3 linked regions of the Arabidopsis thaliana genome follow. The protein of the gene in region 2 interacts with the protein of the main gene of each other region in a pairwise test. Each region holds a gene or a part of one and is shown on either strand. Other genes may lie near its edges.

Region 1 (4,395 bases), on a different chromosome or scaffold from region 2:
AAACATCAACAAAATCAATTATTTTTATAACAAATTGCAAACTCAAATTTGGAGAATTCTGCTCTCATTGCCAAAATACTAGTTAACGAATAGTCTGTAAATCAACTGAAAGTTTAGGCACTATAAGGTAAGGGTAAGGATTACTGTTCAAGTTAAGAAATATGTAAACATATTGTTGTTTATTATTATTTTTATTAAAAGGTTTTCATTTTTTTAGGAGCATACGAAAACATATAAATTGGACCATACCCATTACATGATGAACAGAGGAAACGCCCACAAGGGGAAACCAGGCCCAGATAAGAGAGGCTCGTGAACACACATGGGCCACAAAGCCCAAAAACACCTAATTTTTGTTTAATAATTGATATGTCCGAGAGACCGAGACCATAGTTTTGAGTTTAATAATAATAATTTATTTTTTATTTATCTGTTATTTCTGGGGGTTATGCTTAATTACACTGTTCATTTTTACTAATACAATAAGAATATTGATTTCCCTATTTTTATTATTCGGGTTGGATAACTAATACAATTTTGGCTTGGATTTAATCGTTCTCAGTTCTCCCTTCACTCGTCCCAAGAAATGATATTCACAGCTTGGTTTTGCAATAGAAAGTATTTCACTAAATCATAGCTTATCCATTATTAACTACGTTTAAATTGTCTAATGTATGGCGTATGGGAGATGGGCCTAAATTCCAAGACATAATCACTTGTAGTAATCTTTAGAACACTCTACATGGTCTGCTTACTAAAACTTAGTTAATAATGAACTTACGAGAAAAATTCAGGTCATCATTTGAGAAGAAGTAAAAAGTAAGTAATCAACTAGACACAAAAAAAGAGAGGGTAAATTATAAGCAAAAAGATAAGTAATTTTAGGAAAATGAACAAATTGATTAATAAAAATAATGAATATACCAAATTTTAATACTATCATGGAAGCGTCCCCAAAAAAAAAAAAAAAATGAGAAATGCATGAATTAGTAGTTGGATACTTTGTTCAGTTTTGTTGCTAGGTAGGATATATATATATATATATTATTTTTTTATTGCTAGGATATTTTGTTGGTACAGGTTATATTTCTGCTATGGTTTACCAAAAAGAAGTACCTTGAACCCAACCAACAATGGATAGCTAACATTCGCCAAAATGTAATAATTTGACACGCTTTCAAGAAATAATAATGATAGTGATTCAAGAACATCTCCGTTTATAAAATGTACATATACATTGCTACATTAGCAACAAGTTAAACAAGAAGCAAAAGACAAGAGTTTCTTCAATATAATAGTCAAATTTCCAGGAAAGAAAGAAAAACCCACCTAATCCAATAATAATAAAAAAAGAGAAGAAAATTTCCCAAAATCAAAAACCCTAAATCGAATCAAAATCCTTTCTAATAAGAATGAAATAACCCAAAACAGCACAAACCGCAGCAACAGCATTGCCTTCTTTCAAAAGAACCTTAAACACAAATCCAAACACTTCTCTTGTAATCTTACGAGCTTCAACAACCAATACCCTTCTCGATTTCCCAAAAAACGCAAGCAACACAACCACCGATATCCAGATCACCATAACCGCCGGAACCGCAACCGCAGCCGCCGCAACCATCGACATGGCTCCAAACACAGCTCCTAACACCACAGACGCGTAAACCGCCGGTAATCTTGACGGAGACGGCGATGACGTGTACTGGAGCTTGTACCAGCTAAGCACAGATGTGAGAAAGTTCCATGAGGAAGCCAGGAGAATCGCGTAGACAGCTACAAAGAGACAAACCCATGTCCGTCTCTTGCTCATGATTCGCATAAAGATAAGGTACGATCTTGGAGGAGAGCCATTCGATGTTCTTGGCGATCCTGTTGGATCCATCATCGGCGATCTGATTGAGATTTTTTATTGAGGGATTTTTTCTTTCTTTGTGTTGGAAATTGAAATCTCCGTGATTTGAGATTTGTGCTGAAGAACTAGAAGAAGAAGAAGAAGAAGAAGAAGAAGAGAGAGAGCACAAAAAAAAAAGTGAAAGTCTTCAGATTTGGGGAAAATAGATTAGTTCACGTGAGTCCCACTCTCATGTTAAAGCGCGTGTTAATCACTCGTTGGTTTAGAGGCTTGTAGTGGAGTACACGCGCTTAAGTTTCGTTTTATTTATTGATTTCCCCCAAAAGAGACCAGACATGGAAATTAGGAACAAATGAATATACATGGAAACTGCGTGAACTCACTCTGATCAAAAATATTATTATTTCCATTAATATCACTTAATTACTCTTTTCTTCGTTTATTTCTTTCTCCTCTCGGAATTATGAAATTAAATACTAATGACGAAACGCGATTTCTGTTTATACCATTTTTTACTTCAACAAATCTGTTTGAGACGTAATGCATTATCTTCTTTTTTTTTTTTAGTTTAGTCGTATAGCAAGTTAGGGACAAACAAACAAATGCGATTTGTCTTTCCTTTTCTTTTTTTTAATGCGATTTGGCTTGATAGTGCGCCTCTACGCTTATTATAGCCGACAAACTAAAATAAAAGAATCGTCTATTTATTCTAACCTTTAATGACATTTTACCTTTTTTGTTTTGTTTTGTTTTGTCTATCTTTTATGAAGAAGACTCTAAAGGAACGAAACTTCTTGACGTTCACCGCTAGCAAATTCTTGAATGCATGCGATTGTCTTTTTCTTATGGAAGTCTTAGCTTTTTCTCTTGAATATGGATTTTAATATTCTTCCGTCTAGTCATCAAATGAGATTAAGCATTTATCTACAATATATGGAACACTAATCATATAAGTTGAGAATCTACAATCAAACATTTTTAAAATTGGATATGGATGTGGTATTGTATGGTAAACCATCTTCCAAGTAATTGGACATTTGGAATACTAAGATTTACTTGGCATATGAAACAATTTAACGTCCCTTGACATTTGTAACAATTTCACGTACGAACGATTGCAACGACTTTGTTATGTGTCAAACGCTTTTCTAATATGGAAGTTGACACGACTTTGAGAATTAATTTGTAAGAACATTAAACAAATAATCTTCCAGTTTTGTAGTCTTCTATTGATGTACACTTCAAAGAATCTTCTAGTTCATAATCCCATGACCGGAAACGGAGTCCAATTTTGCCATACAACACGGTCGCGATGGCAAATTGGCAACACCGCATGGTCCGCATGCCGATGAAGGTGTCGGCATCCTATTGACGATCTCTATATTTAATACACTTTGATTTTTTTTTAAAATAAGTAAATGAATTAGTTCTAAAGACATCGGGCTGTCGTGTGAGCCAAGTAAATTAAAGTATTTCATAAATTATTCTATTTTAGTTATTTACAAACACACGCGTGTGCACATGTATTTGGCAAATTATTTGAGTCAAACAACATCTTCCTATCACAATTCTGAACTTCTTTATACTCGTGATTAATTTCTTATATTTTTGTCTTCACTGTTTTAGTCCACATGTTAAATTATAAGAACTTCATACACGAAAACTAAACAATTAAAAAAAAAAAAAAAAACTAAACAATTAGAATAATTTCAAACGAAATAAAAAGTCAATACAATTAGTCTTGTAAGAGCGATGATCAAATAGATTGAAAGACTATAATAATGCTCTAAGTTTATTTTAAAATTTTCAACCAATTTTATCTACCATTTAAAAGGTTGACAAAAAAAAAATGTTGACTAAAACAAGTCTTGATACAATTATTTGAATAGGCTGAATGATGATACCAATCAAACTTACATTTAATAAAATCTGAACATTTTAAAAAATAAAAATAAATGAAAGAGAATTCCATGAATGATGATGAGATAGAGCCATAGAGAGACTGAGAGAGAGAGATGTGGAGAAAAATCTAACTTTGGTCGACGAAAGGCGGCTAAGTTGGTTATTGACATTTAGCTATTTTTTTTATGAATCCGTTCATACATCGATCGATGATAGTGACTCACTCTACGTAATCGTTTAATTAGTCAAATCTGCTACAACTAACAAATAAAAATCTCCCCTTTCCTTACATATTCTCTCCGCAACCCTCTTTGATTCTATTCAACGCTTTGCCTAAAGTCAATCTTCATCAATTTCTCTCCATTCCTTCACTCAATTCCGGCCAAAGTTTTGATTTTTCCGGTTCGAATCACTCTTTCTGGGGATTTCACAGTGTACTGTGTGTGGTCTTCCGAAGAAGAAGAAGAATTCAAAAATACGATCTTGTTGGTTTTCGTGAATTGGGTATTTCCCGCTGAGCCGTTGAAGTTGTGTGTTTGTTCTGAGTGGATTGAAATTAGGGTTTAGATTTTAGGGAAGTGAATGGATTGGGTTGTGAATAATAAAGGTTAAGTTTTTCTGTAGATTGGTTATGTGTGTAG
Region 2 (6,191 bases):
TTTATGTAATGCTTATCTCATATATATAATGGGATAAGAAAAATAAAAACTGAACAATATTTTATGGTATTCTATTTATAATGCTATTATGTGATTTTGCATCCATGCTATTTGGGGGAAATATTATTTATATAAAATATTTCTATTACAAAATTGAAAGCAACTTTGAGTCTTTGACAATATTCGGCTGCACTAGATTTTGTTTAGGTATATATTTAGAAAAATATATTAGAAAGAACTATATTAGGTACATAGATATACTCTTATTTGGGAATTCTGAAAATATCAAGGAAAATTCCTTATATTATATTTTCAACAACAAAAAAAAAACTTCCTTATATATATGTTCATACTAAGATAAGAATCAAGTAGAGTGGCTAAAATCAGGAATTTGATTGGTCAGAAAAGATTTTTTATCCTCACTCTATTGGTCATGTAAAATTAAAATCAACTTTGAAATTTATTGGTCATTTAGAAGAAATATATTAGGGAGAACTATATTAGGTACGTGATATATTTTGTTTTGGGAATTAATGTGAAAATACTTAAAAACAATTGTTATATTATAATATTTGTTTTAACAAAAAGAAAGAAAAAAACTTCTTTATAATTCTATTTAGAGTAAGATATATCAGAATAAAGTAACTGAAATTAAGAACTGATATTTTATCTGATTGTTAAGAAAAGATTTATTATCTTCTCCTAATTGAGATTTATAAGATATTTCAGTTATTATTAAATCATATTTATATGTGCAACATTTTAAGTTTATTTATTTCTTACCTCTATAATATTAATTAATATTGGTGAAAATAGTTTTAAAACAAAACTGGACGCGAAAACCCTCTTGGCCCAAAGGTTAATCAAGAGTTAATAAAGCCTTTACACCAAAGAAGTCTAAAGTTCGAATCCAAGATTATGCGATTTACTAACAAATTTGCAGATTAATGGAGTTTGATATTAAAAAATATTCAAATATTTTGATTAACTGATGTATATCTCAACGACAACTCAACTCCGTGAAGACATCGTCGCTCAATGACATTGCACCACTTTCAGATTGGGATCGAATCCAAGTGAAAGCAGGAGCTTTAGGTAAAGGAATGATGATAGTCTCACTGCCAAGCCAAATTATTACAGAGCTCATGGTTGGTCTCTTTGTTGAATTCTCTTGAACACACAACAAACCAATTTGGATCAACTTGATGATCTCATTTCTTGGATTCTCTATTAAGAACGGATCAATTATAATCTCAGGCTTTCCTTCAACCCATCTTTTCCATGCCTACACCAAAAACATAAGTTCTTACTTTCGGGATAAAGTTTTGAAGATAGAAAAACAAAAACTGATATGTGAAGAAGCTTAAGGTCGCCGGTTCGAGTAACGCTTGGAACGAAACTAATATTACATGCTGTGGTTTCGGTCCTGGGGGGATTACGGGCTTCGGCCCAAAACCTCCAGCTATTCAAAAAAAAAAAAAATTGTGAAGAAGCTTACAAAAGCTGCAAGTCCTTCTCCTTCGAAGCTATTGTTTCTTTCACCACTAATCATCTCTAGAAGCATAACACCGAAGCTATAAACGTCAGATTTAGCTGAGATTTGTCCATGATTCAAGTACTCAGGAGCCATATATCCACTGCATATATGCAAACCAATAGCATTAATTCATGGACTCTGTTTTCAAAACAGAGCATTTGAAATGTGTCATCAAATTTGATTGATATATTTCTTACCGGGTTCCAGCTATTCTTTTTGTTTCAGCTCGAGTCTCGTCGGAGTCGAACAACCTCGCAGTCCCGAAATCCGCAACTTTAGGGTTCATCTCAGCGTCTAAAAGTATGTTGCTTGCCTTCAAGTCTCTGTGAATAATCTTCAGCTGAGAATCTTCATGGAGATAGAGAAGACCTCGAGCAATGCCTTCTATAATTCTGAACCTCACCTCCCATGTAAGAAGAGAACGCTTATCTTCATCTGCAGAGTTCAAAGAAACATTTAGTTTGCTAAAAGTTCTAAATCTATCCAACTTGGCAGCTGTCTTTCGAAGGCTCACCAAAGATAAAGTGATCAAGACTTGAGTTGGGGACAAACTCGTAGACAAGAATCTCTTCATCTCCCTCATTACAGAACCCAAGAAGCTTAACAAGATTCTTATGTTGGAGTCTTGTCAAGAGTGAAACCTCATTCTTAAACTCCATATCTCCTTGTCCTGATCCTTTTGTTAGTCTCTTGACCGCTACCTCTTGCCCGTTTGGGAATGTCCCCTGAAACCCATTCTCAAGATATCTATTTACTCATAAAAGACCAATGTTGATCAAGAACTCATCATTAAGGAAAAAGTTTATTATTACCTTATAAACCGTACCAAATCCACCTTGGCCAAGCGTATTTTCAGAGGAGAAGTCATCAGTTGCCATTACGATCATACCAAGATCAAACCGTAACATGAATTGACCATCAGAATCAGAGTATTCTGCACTACCAACTAAAAAAACAAAAAATCCATAAGCCTTACTCTCTACATCATAAGCTTGATTGAAGCAAGTTACACTTACCATTATTTAATTTTCCCCTCCGTGCATAGACTTTGATAAAGCCAATAAACACCAAAAGATTAATGAAAGTAAACACCACAACTATTGCGATAATTCCGCCATACCCAATGCTTTTCCCTGCAAATTACCAACCCTTTGTCTAAGAATTAACCTCTTAATCATAATAACAATTTGGCACGAAAAGTTCATACCAAACCGCTTCATGTCACTTATGTAAACAATATTCCTCAAAATTGGCTCTTTTGAGCTCTAAATGAAAGCTAAAATAATTTGTGTTACCTTTTTTTACTGTTATGCAGCTCTCCTTTTCCTGAGCATGAGGTCGAGGAGGAGGCGCAGGAACTCTTGTTACATTATCAAAAGCATTATGGAAAGAATATAGATCCCACCTGAAATAACAGCTTGGAAGACTAGCCATGCCTCCTTTTCTTCCCATATAGTCTTTTCTAAAGTACATCACGCAATCTCCCAAACATTGCTTGCAATCTCGTGAACTTAAGTCGGGTGTGCATTGCATCAGCATGTAAACATCTGGAAACTCGGTGAAACCCGCTTTTTCGGCCTTATAGTACTTAAGCACCGAGGAACCTTCAGCTTTCGTGGCAGCCTCTAGGGTCCGATTAACCATTTCTTCCCACTGTTGTTTGAAAAGGGTTATGTTTTTAGATGACTCTATAGTATCTGGACTTGGCCATACAACAGGAGGTTTAAGCTGGACGCTCCCAAAAGTAGACTGGTTTGAGGAACGTACAAGACAAGTTACATCGTCATTGCCTCCCCATATGAACGAATCCCTACGGCTTCGACAATCTGTTAGTGTGTTCTGAGTCAATGATTGGACACAATTGTAACAAGCGTCTTGGTCGTAGCCTCTTGCGCAGCTGACAAGAGCGTAAACTTTGTCGGGATCTTGGCCGAGTGAAGCGTTGTAGAATCCGTCGTTGATGATGACTTTGTCAGCAAGAGTAGGGAACAGTTTCTGGCGATTCTGAGCGAAGGTGCTGCTGTTACCGTTGAAGGAGTTTCCGAAACATTTGACCGCGTTAACAACATGGAGTGTTTGAAGGACAAGTAGAAGAGAAGAAGAGAGGAATATCATCAAAGCAGAGCATTTTCCCATTTTTGTTTGTTAAAGATAACAACTTCTTTGGTTTTTTTTTTTTTGATGTACTACTTGAAGTAGTCTACTTCGTTACTGTTAAGTATAGTAATAAATTTTTGAGCTTTGTTTATATTTATATAGCCTACCAGCTTTGACATTTGAAAGGTTCCAAAAAGAAAACAAAATATGGCCTAATTTTCTTCGTTACTGTAAATAATAATCACAAGTTATCTTTCAATGGTAAGTTGGTTGATAATAATCAAATGTAATAACTAGTAAAAAAATGAAACATGGCAGTTTTTTTTCCCCGGCAATATTATCATAAACAGTTTTGCATAATACATGAACCATTCACATACGACCATTGACATAAACAGAGACTTTTATATAACGAGAAACATGTCAGTGAAAAATAGTTAACAATGAAATGATAAGTCGCTGAATTACTAAAAATATAGAGATTATATAAGTTACGTTTTCGATTTGTGTTGGGAAAAATCTATTTTACAATGGTTCCTCTGTTTTTTAAGAAGTGTTGTTTAAGCAAAAACAAATAGTTTCATTTTATTTGTTGTTTTCAATTTTTAATGGAAATTTTATTATTTTTGACTCTTAGAAATTCTACAAAACTTTTTTTTCAATTTGTTGAATTGTTTTTAAATAGATAATTAACTATATTAAAAGATAATAATAAAAAACGAAATAATTTCATTTGTGCCAAAACCTTGAAACTTAAACTACAAATAAATGACAATAGAGGGAGTAACAAATTAAATAATATACTTATAATCATTTCTAGGAAGATGTACAGACTCATTCACAATCAACTTCTTAGTCAAAAATTATATGTAATAGTAAAATACTAAAATGTGGAAAAGATAGTGATAGAAAAACACAAATAAATGAAATGTTTGGTATTACCTGTGAGACGTTAACCCATATTAAGAACTTTTGGTCCCCAGTCCCCACAAAACCTTGAAAAAACGCGTCTTTGTTAACTTCCAAACTGAGAGAAAATGCGTATTGGTTGATTTTTCAAAGATTCCAAAAATGGCTACCCACAATATAGAGATAATAGCAAAACAAATTCTTTTTCTTTCGTGATTGATTTTATGAATAGCTTCTTGGACGATTCCGCAATAGCAACTCTTCCACCAATTCACGGATCCACAATATACGGTTCTACATACAGTTATACATTATATATTTATATTTATTATAAATTTATGAAGATGCAGATTCTGACAACAACGAGCTGATAAACATCATGGAGCTGTTGGAAATTAGGAAGCTGCATCAAATCTGTTAGTTTATAATTGAGTTTGGTCTATAAGTTATAATTATGTTGTATTAAAAGGTGTTTGTTAGAGTCGTGACTTTTAGATTAGGTTGTGTCGTTTATCTTAGAGAGAAAGAGACACAACTCTTTACTTATTGTGTCTATTTGTTTTCTATTTAAACTTTTTGTATCGTGATGAAACGAACAAGTTCTCCATTCAATAAAAGTCAGTTTCTCTTTTGCTTTGTGTATCTCATAAGAAACAGAACAACAAGTAAACACTTGTTTTTTCTTTGTAACAAGAGGCTTCAATTTCCAACATGGTATCAGAGCCCTACTGATTCAAGGGCCAAACATTTCAAGTAAAGAGTTTAATAAACACGAGAGAGTTATGGAGATGGTGTCACACATTGTGACTCCAATCTTCAACAAAGAGAATTATGGTTTTTGGCGCATCAAGATGAAAACAATTTTCCAGACAAAGAAACTGTGGGAAATTGTTGACGAAGGAGTTCCAAAACCACCCGCAGAAGGAGATCATAGCCCTGAAGCAGTGCAACAAAAGACACGATGTGAAGCAGCATCCTTAAAGGATCTAACCGCTTTGCAAATTCTTCAAACTGCCGTCTCAGATTCCATATTTCCGAGAATCGCCCCTGCATCAAGCGCACTTGGAAAGCCTTGGTATTGGAATTTCAAGGATCACCACAAGTCAGGATGATAAAGCTTCAATCTCTTAGAAGGGAGTATGAGAATTTGAAGATGAAAGAAAGTGACAATATCAACACTTTCATGACCAAGTTGATTGAGATGGGAAATCAACTGAGAGTTCATGGAGAAGAGAAATCAGACTATCAAATAGTGCAAAAAATCCTAATTTCTCTTCCGAAAAGATTTGACATCATAGTGGCTATGATGAAGCAAACGAAGGATCTGACTTCGTTGTCCGTAACATAGTTGATAGGCACATTGAAAGCACACGAGAAGCGGGTAGAGATGCGAGACGAATGATCAACGGAAGGAGCGTTCTATGGAGAAAACAAACGTGAAGACAAGCGTCAAACGCAGGCTGGGAAATGGTGTGACGTTTGCGAACGTAAAAATCACAATGAGAGTGATTGCTGGATGAAGAAGAACAAAGGTGTTCTTTCGCAACAAGTGGGGAACAATGAGAGAAGATGTTTCGTGTGTAACAAACCGGGACATCTAGCAAAGAACTGCAGACTTAGAAGGACCGAGCGAGTGGATCTAAGTCTA
Region 3 (6,460 bases), on a different chromosome or scaffold from region 2:
ACCGAGCAGTTGCGGAAACTGTGTGACAAGATGGAAAACAAGGAAGGGATGGCTTTGGCAAAGGTGATCAAGAATGGGAGCAACATTGATGATGATAAAATAGAGATTGAAGAAGAAGAAGTTCAAGTAGCTGTTAAGCAGAATGGTCATATAGAAGCCAATGGTCATGTAGAAGCCAATGGTCATGTAGAAGCCAAAGTGGATACTGCTACTCATGAGAAGAAAGAGAAACCTTGGAGCAAGGAAGAGATTGACATGCTGAGAAAAGGAACAACCAAGTTCCCAAAAGGAACATCTCAGAGATGGGAAGTCATATCAGAGTACATTGGTACAGGAAGATCTGTGGAGGAAATTCTCAAGGCTACTAAAACAGTACTTCTCCAGAAACCCGACTCAGCTAAAGCTTTTGACTCTTTTCTGGAGAATAGGAAACCTGCCGCTTCAATCAACTCTCCTCTCTCTACACGAGAGGAACTCGGAGAACCAATTATACCGACCAAAGCTCATGAAGACAACAACTCAACCAAAACAGAGACCGCAGAACAGAACGGTAAGACCAAAGAGAACAACAACAGTAACGGCAACTCTGAACCAGCAGCAGCATCTGGTTCAGACCCAGACGGTTGGTCTGCTGTGCAAGAAAGAGCTCTGGTACAGGCTTTGAAGACGTTCCCAAAGGAGACAAACCAAAGATGGGAGAGAGTAGCAACAGCTGTTCCAGGGAAAACGATGAATCAATGCAAGAAGAAGTTTGCTGATCTTAAGGACGTCATCAGAACCAAGAAACCCACAGCCTAACCTATCCGATTCCTCGAGCTGCACGCTTTGAGATTTTGTTTTGACAGAGATGAGCGTGGACTCAATTTTTGCTACAATTCATATTTTCGTAATTCGTATACATCATCATGCTGCTCTTATTCTACATAGAGTTTTTGACAACCGAATCTATTCTTATTTATCTATTTTGTTCTAATTTTATTTATGCTCTCTGTCTTTATTTAATTTTTTGATCGTCTGGTGTTATCTTGTTTTCATTTTTCTATCTAGTCTACAAACGAATAGCCGAAGGGAGTCGTTGATAAACCAAAGCGAAATCAAACTTAATCCAAAGAGAAATATATTAAAAGAAACAATTCTCTGTTTAACATTGAATCAAATCAACTGTCTGTATGTATACCATAGTCCTTAAAGAAGCCAGTTCTACAAAATCAACCACTTCATCCTCCTGATGAATCGTCATTATGGGTTATTGGTACAGAAGCCAACAAAGTATCGGCTGTGATCAAAAGGCTCAAAGAAAAGATATTGTTCTTGCATTGGCAGTTGCTAGTCCATGACCATGAGAAGTGAGAACTGACAGATTCTGAACGGCTCTAATCCAATCCACACCACCAATGGAGTGGAGGATTTCCCGGGCTCGTTAGGGTAGTTCTGTCATTTGACAGACAGGTGGCATGTTGCTCCAAGAACAAGACCCAACTCCTGAGGATGCCCCAACACTCATATTCATATAGTCATTTCCTATGTCATCGCCAAGGAGAACCGCGAGTGCGTCGCTCATGCTACCTGTCTCTTTCACAATCCCTAAACCATGGTCAAGCCAGCTCGATGCAAGCAAAACGTCAGGCCTTGTTATATCCAAGAGAGGTTTCCGCTTTTTTTCTCTCTGCCCTGCATAATTTTTTAAGTTTAGGTGAGTTCTTGATCAGCTCAAAATCTCGGCTATAAGAAACAAATTAATGCAAGTGATGATTCTCAAAAAGTAAAATCAGGATACCAAATAGAATTCTAGGGAAAAAGATGAAATCTTCAACAAACTATTTCAAGTGATGGTAAGGTGAATAGTAACTCACTTGGTGGAGTTTCATCTGCATTTTGTGTGGACATTTCGGAATGAACCAAGAAGCTCTTAAGGGAATTGTCAAACTCCTCGGATTTAGTTTGGGATACAGTAACCTGGCCAAGATCAGCTGATGGAATAGTTGAAGCGCAGCTCCTGTACAAATTGTTCTTTGTACTATTATTTCTGATCTTGGCTTCCAGAAGCAACATATCGAGCAGACCAGTATCAAAATTTGAATATAAATCTGACTCTTCTCCCCCCGTTGGTGGTGGTGGAGACTGAATGTAAGTATCAAAGGGATCAAGGAGATCAGAGTGTGGAGGAGATGACGATTTCTTCCACTGGTCAAATGTTGTTTCTGAATATTGGAATGAAGGGAGCTCCAGCTTCACTGCCCCATATAAGGGCTTAGAATAAGGAACAATGCCATCCGTAGGGGTATGGCTATCTGGAATCATAACAGGTGAATGTCGGTTTCCATAGAGAGGATGCTCAACATCACAAGGAACTGAGAAGCTGCAAGTTTTGGAAATCGTTTGTGGAGATGTGTTCCGGAATTGTTCAGGCGACGAGAATTCTTGCTTTATGGTACTGCTACACCCAGGATACAACAACTCAGATTCCCAAAGTCGCTTCGAGGAGGGGATTGTTGGTGTCATGAAGTTTTCATATCGAGGAGAACTTGCACAGTTACCCATATTTTTGTAGGCAGTCATATCTGCTAGATCAAAAGTACCAGGTACCATGTCGGTAAAATTAAGAGTATCAAAGAAGACATTAGATTCACAACTCCCCAGCTGCAAGAAATCTTGATGTCTTCTATCTTCTCCCATAACTCTACTCTTGGCATACTCTTGACTCCACTCAAGTGCCTCAACATGCATCTCAGGAGGATAAAGTGGCAAACCAGCTCGTTGTCGCCTCTTGATACGAGTGTTCCAATAATTCTTTATCTCATTATCCGTTCGGCCAGGCAACTGGAGCAAACAAAAACTCTATGAAATTAGTCTCGAAACACACTTTTACAAAAGGAACCATATCCTTATCAGAAACAAAACACTTACATGTGCAGCCATACGTGCCCATCTATTACCCATCTTGGCATGCAATTCAACGATAAGCTGTTCTTCTTCTTGACTAAAAGCTCCTTTCTTCAAATTTGGCCTCAGATGATTAGCCCATCTTAGACGACAGCTTTTACCACAACGAAACAAGCTGGTGTGTTTCTGCACAGCATTCCAGTTACCCTCACCATGCTTATTCACATAGTCAATAAGAATATCATCTTCAGCTGAACTCCAAGGGCCTTTCTTGAGAGCATGACCATCCCATCTACTTCTGCAGTCACTTCCATTATCATCAGCAGCTGGTGACTCATTATGGTCACTGTCAGTGCTCGTGTAACTCATCTCTTTTCTAATTAAACCACTGACAGTAACAATTTAGACATCAAGCTCCCACCTAAACACCAAAAACTTCAGCTTGAAATAAAGAAAGTTCATAGTCATAAAGAATTAAAAGAGACGAAAGAGGAAAACAAACCCTAAATAAGGAAAGAAAAAAAAAACAAAATCCAGAACTGTCAGACGCTGGATACCTGAAAACCAACAGAGAATAAAAATTAGATTGAGAAGATTAGTAGTCTATTACGAAGAAGATCAACAACAAAGCTGATGCAAACATCAATCGAAAGCGCAGATAAAGATCAGCTGAAATAGATCAGAACGCACAAAGAAGATACTATCAGATTATGAATATGAAAAAACAGAAAACCTGATTTGAAATCTAAGCTGAAATTGAAAGTTTTTAAAGATCCTAAGGACTAATCAATCATAGATCCATGAAAAGCAGCAATTCGAGATAGAAACGGAAAGATAATCTAGAAACAAAAAATTATATTTACGCGGAGAGAAGCTCAAGGCTAAGGAAAATACCAAAGCTGGATAGAGATCCGAGCTTAGCTTGGGCAGCTGAACATCGAGTGGAAATGGAAGGAGGGAGAGAAGCTTAGCTCTTTCTCTTCCTTTTACTCTTTTCTACTTTCTATCCCATTTTTCTTTTTCTAAAACGTTTTCTTAAATATATTATAATACGATAACTTGTGAAAATTAACTATTTTATTATTGTTATTAGCATTGTAATTATGTTACTAAAAATTAATCAGAGTTTTTACTAAATCAAAGCTTAAGCAAAAATAAAAGCAGCTTATGAAGACAATCCTTTTGGTTTATTAACTGAAATGCATTCAGATAGTAAAAGAGTGAGATTGAATAATTGATTTGAAAGAGTTGTAACTTGTAAGAAAGAAATAGAGTTGAATTGGTCACCTTTTTGCAGCCTTTTTTGGTCACTCTCTTTATCTCATTTCATGTTGTGTCGTATGTTTATACGTATGTATATTCCCGTATAAGGACAACACTAGGCTTACGAAACCTACTTCTGATCCTAAAGAAAAGCCCACAACAGAATTCAAGTTAGAGATACTAAAGCCCATTACGTTTCTTCTTCTTAAGAATAAAACAAACAAATAAAACATTTTTCTTTAGTATTATTAACCTAATTAATCTAGAAAATTTTATAATGTTAACTGTTTTCTGAAGCATGTACTATTAACTATTTTGTTAATGTGGCGAATCTAAAAGTTGGCCAACTCTAACGGGAAGGCGGCAGCTAAAAATTTGGCGGTCAAAGAGATTGTCATCATCCAACCAAATACGCAATTAACTATTATTTGATCAAAAAAGTTATAAGATGATATTTGCAGCTCAAGTTTCCTTAATCAATTTCTTAGCTACCACCACCAAACTATTAATCGTCTGTGCATTACCAACCATTATTTTTCTCACCCTTAGTTTGTATGATTGAAAACAATTCTATACATTCTTTTAAGATGTGATGTAAATTAAACATAACCAAATTTAACTAACAAGTAGTTAGATATATAGAATATTTGGACAATTTTGTCAACGTATTTTCATAAAGCGAAAATGTCCCAAGGAAATTATTCTATTGGGCTCTCTTTTGAAAGATATGTAAAAACGTTGTCATGTATTTAATTTCAACTTTTAACAAAAAGGTTAATATACTTGCGATTACATTCGACAATTTATAAAGTAAGGAAAAAAAAAACACAAAACCGTAGTCATAATATACTTTCAACAAAAAAATCTTTAAAAATGAAAACTTAAGCAATCAGTGATCGCGTAATTTAGAGTATATAATTATCAAAATAACTTGTAAATTAATGCAAAAAAGGTTTGAAAGTGGTGACGACCTTCTTGACTTGATCGAGAAACGACAAATACGACACGGTTCCGTCGTTCCCTGCGAGAACTCTATACTTATCCTTCCTCGTAAAGTTAGTACACTCAAAGCCTAACGTAGCTGCCAAGATTCTCTGTACATAGTTAGCCACGTCATAAGGGCTCTTCCCTGACGAACACGTCGCCTCCACCTCGAGCTGGTTCAAGAACGTCACCTCATAAACCGGTCTCGGGTTCATGAAAAAGAAGATCGGGTCCAAACCTTTCCAGCCTCTAGCGGTAGTCGCATGAAAGAATCCAACTCTGTAGTTCATTGCCACGGGCACAATATTGTCGGTTAATTCTGCGAAAAGCGCGCTAAATCTCAGCAAAAACGGCTCGCGACAAGTGGTTCCCTCGGGATATACCACTAAGTCCCCATTAGACAGTTCTTTCTTGATCATCTCCGCATCTACATCTCGAATTCTAGTTAACCTAAAGGTTGGAATCGGAGATAGGATCTCGGATAAACGAGAAATAGAGTAGGTAACAGCTGGAATGCTACGTCCGAGCACATAGGATAATACGACCGGATCCATTAGAGTTCTATGAGTGCATACGAATAGTACGCCTGGGTTTCCGGTGGTTGCTTGTGCCGGAGGCTTTCCTTTTACGATGAATCGAGTGTTGAATATCCGTGAGACGTAAGGTATGGCCCATAATGGAAGTAAGAACCCAACGAATATCCGAATCATGGCTAGAATTATTCCAAAGGGGATCCAAAGAAGGATGATGAGTGCGGTGGCTGGTGTTGGTAGCTTCACAAGTCGTCCATCGTGGAAGATAACTGGTAACGGCTGCACATGTAGCCGCTGGTTATGACCGTTGTAGTTCGATGGAACTGGTGCATGAACTTGCTCCTACATGTACATAACATATGCAATCATTCAGATTAGAAAAATGATAGTAACGCTTTCATAAATTATAAAACAACCTAAAAGAATTCCTAACGTTATGTTGTCTTTAGTACTTACCTCACATAAAGATAGGAAAGTTGGAGAATCCGAGATAATATGTCGTCCTAGACCTAGTTGAGGTCTCCGATCCACAAACAAGTTAGCCACACTGTTGAAAACAGATTGGTCCACATTGGTTTCCTGAATCAAACCGGTAGCATAACCGAAACGGTTTACGACAATCTCTGTACCGATGACCTCATCGGCGCTAAGATGATCCTTAGCGAATCTCTCCACCATAACTCGTGGCATTCTTGTCACAACGACTCTCTTATCGCACGAACCAAACGCCCTCCAAGCGTCCATGCTGATATCGTCCATGAAGAATTTGGGAAGAACCGCTCGAGCCACTGATTCAA

The links. The genes of interacting proteins can lie anywhere in the genome.
Region 1: the proteins of CRK40 (region 2) and AT1G03730 interact in a protein complementation assay, tested with the Arabidopsis thaliana proteins (one large-scale study listed by BioGRID).
Region 3: the proteins of CRK40 (region 2) and MYB33 interact in a protein complementation assay, tested with the Arabidopsis thaliana proteins (one large-scale study listed by BioGRID).

Annotation. Positions count from the first base shown.
Region 1 is NC_003070.9:929,636-934,030, forward strand, and holds AT1G03730 (pyrroline-5-carboxylate reductase), read right to left. Parts: upstream 2,351-4,395; 5' UTR 1,886-2,350; coding exon 1,382-1,885; 3' UTR 1,080-1,381; downstream 1-1,079.
Region 2 is NC_003075.7:2,287,527-2,293,717, reverse strand, and holds CRK40 (cysteine-rich RLK (RECEPTOR-like protein kinase) 40), read right to left. Parts: upstream 3,817-6,191; 5' UTR 3,674-3,816; coding exon 2,833-3,673; intron 2,671-2,832; coding exon 2,554-2,670; intron 2,484-2,553; coding exon 2,350-2,483; intron 2,263-2,349; coding exon 2,052-2,262; intron 1,973-2,051; coding exon 1,735-1,972; intron 1,638-1,734; coding exon 1,499-1,637; coding exon of another isoform or gene 1,463-1,498; exon of another isoform or gene 1,286-1,462; coding exon 1,001-1,285; 3' UTR 768-1,000; downstream 1-767.
Region 3 is NC_003076.8:1,835,347-1,841,806, reverse strand, and holds MYB33 (myb domain protein 33), read right to left. Parts: upstream 3,973-6,460; 5' UTR 3,778-3,972; exon of another isoform or gene 3,441-3,777; 5' UTR 3,386-3,440; exon of another isoform or gene 3,305-3,385; 5' UTR 3,253-3,304; coding exon 2,908-3,252; intron 2,821-2,907; coding exon 1,854-2,820; coding exon of another isoform or gene 1,810-1,853; exon of another isoform or gene 1,672-1,809; coding exon 1,421-1,671; 3' UTR 1,080-1,420; downstream 1-1,079. Other genes in the region: AT5G06110 (DnaJ and myb-like DNA-binding domain-containing protein), read left to right, coding at 1-798; GPAT7 (glycerol-3-phosphate acyltransferase 7), read right to left, coding at 5,085-6,005, 6,120-6,460. UniProt on the Arabidopsis thaliana protein: Transcriptional activator of alpha-amylase expression that binds to 5'-CAACTGTC-3' motif in target gene promoter. Positive regulator of abscisic acid (ABA) responses leading to growth arrest during seed germination.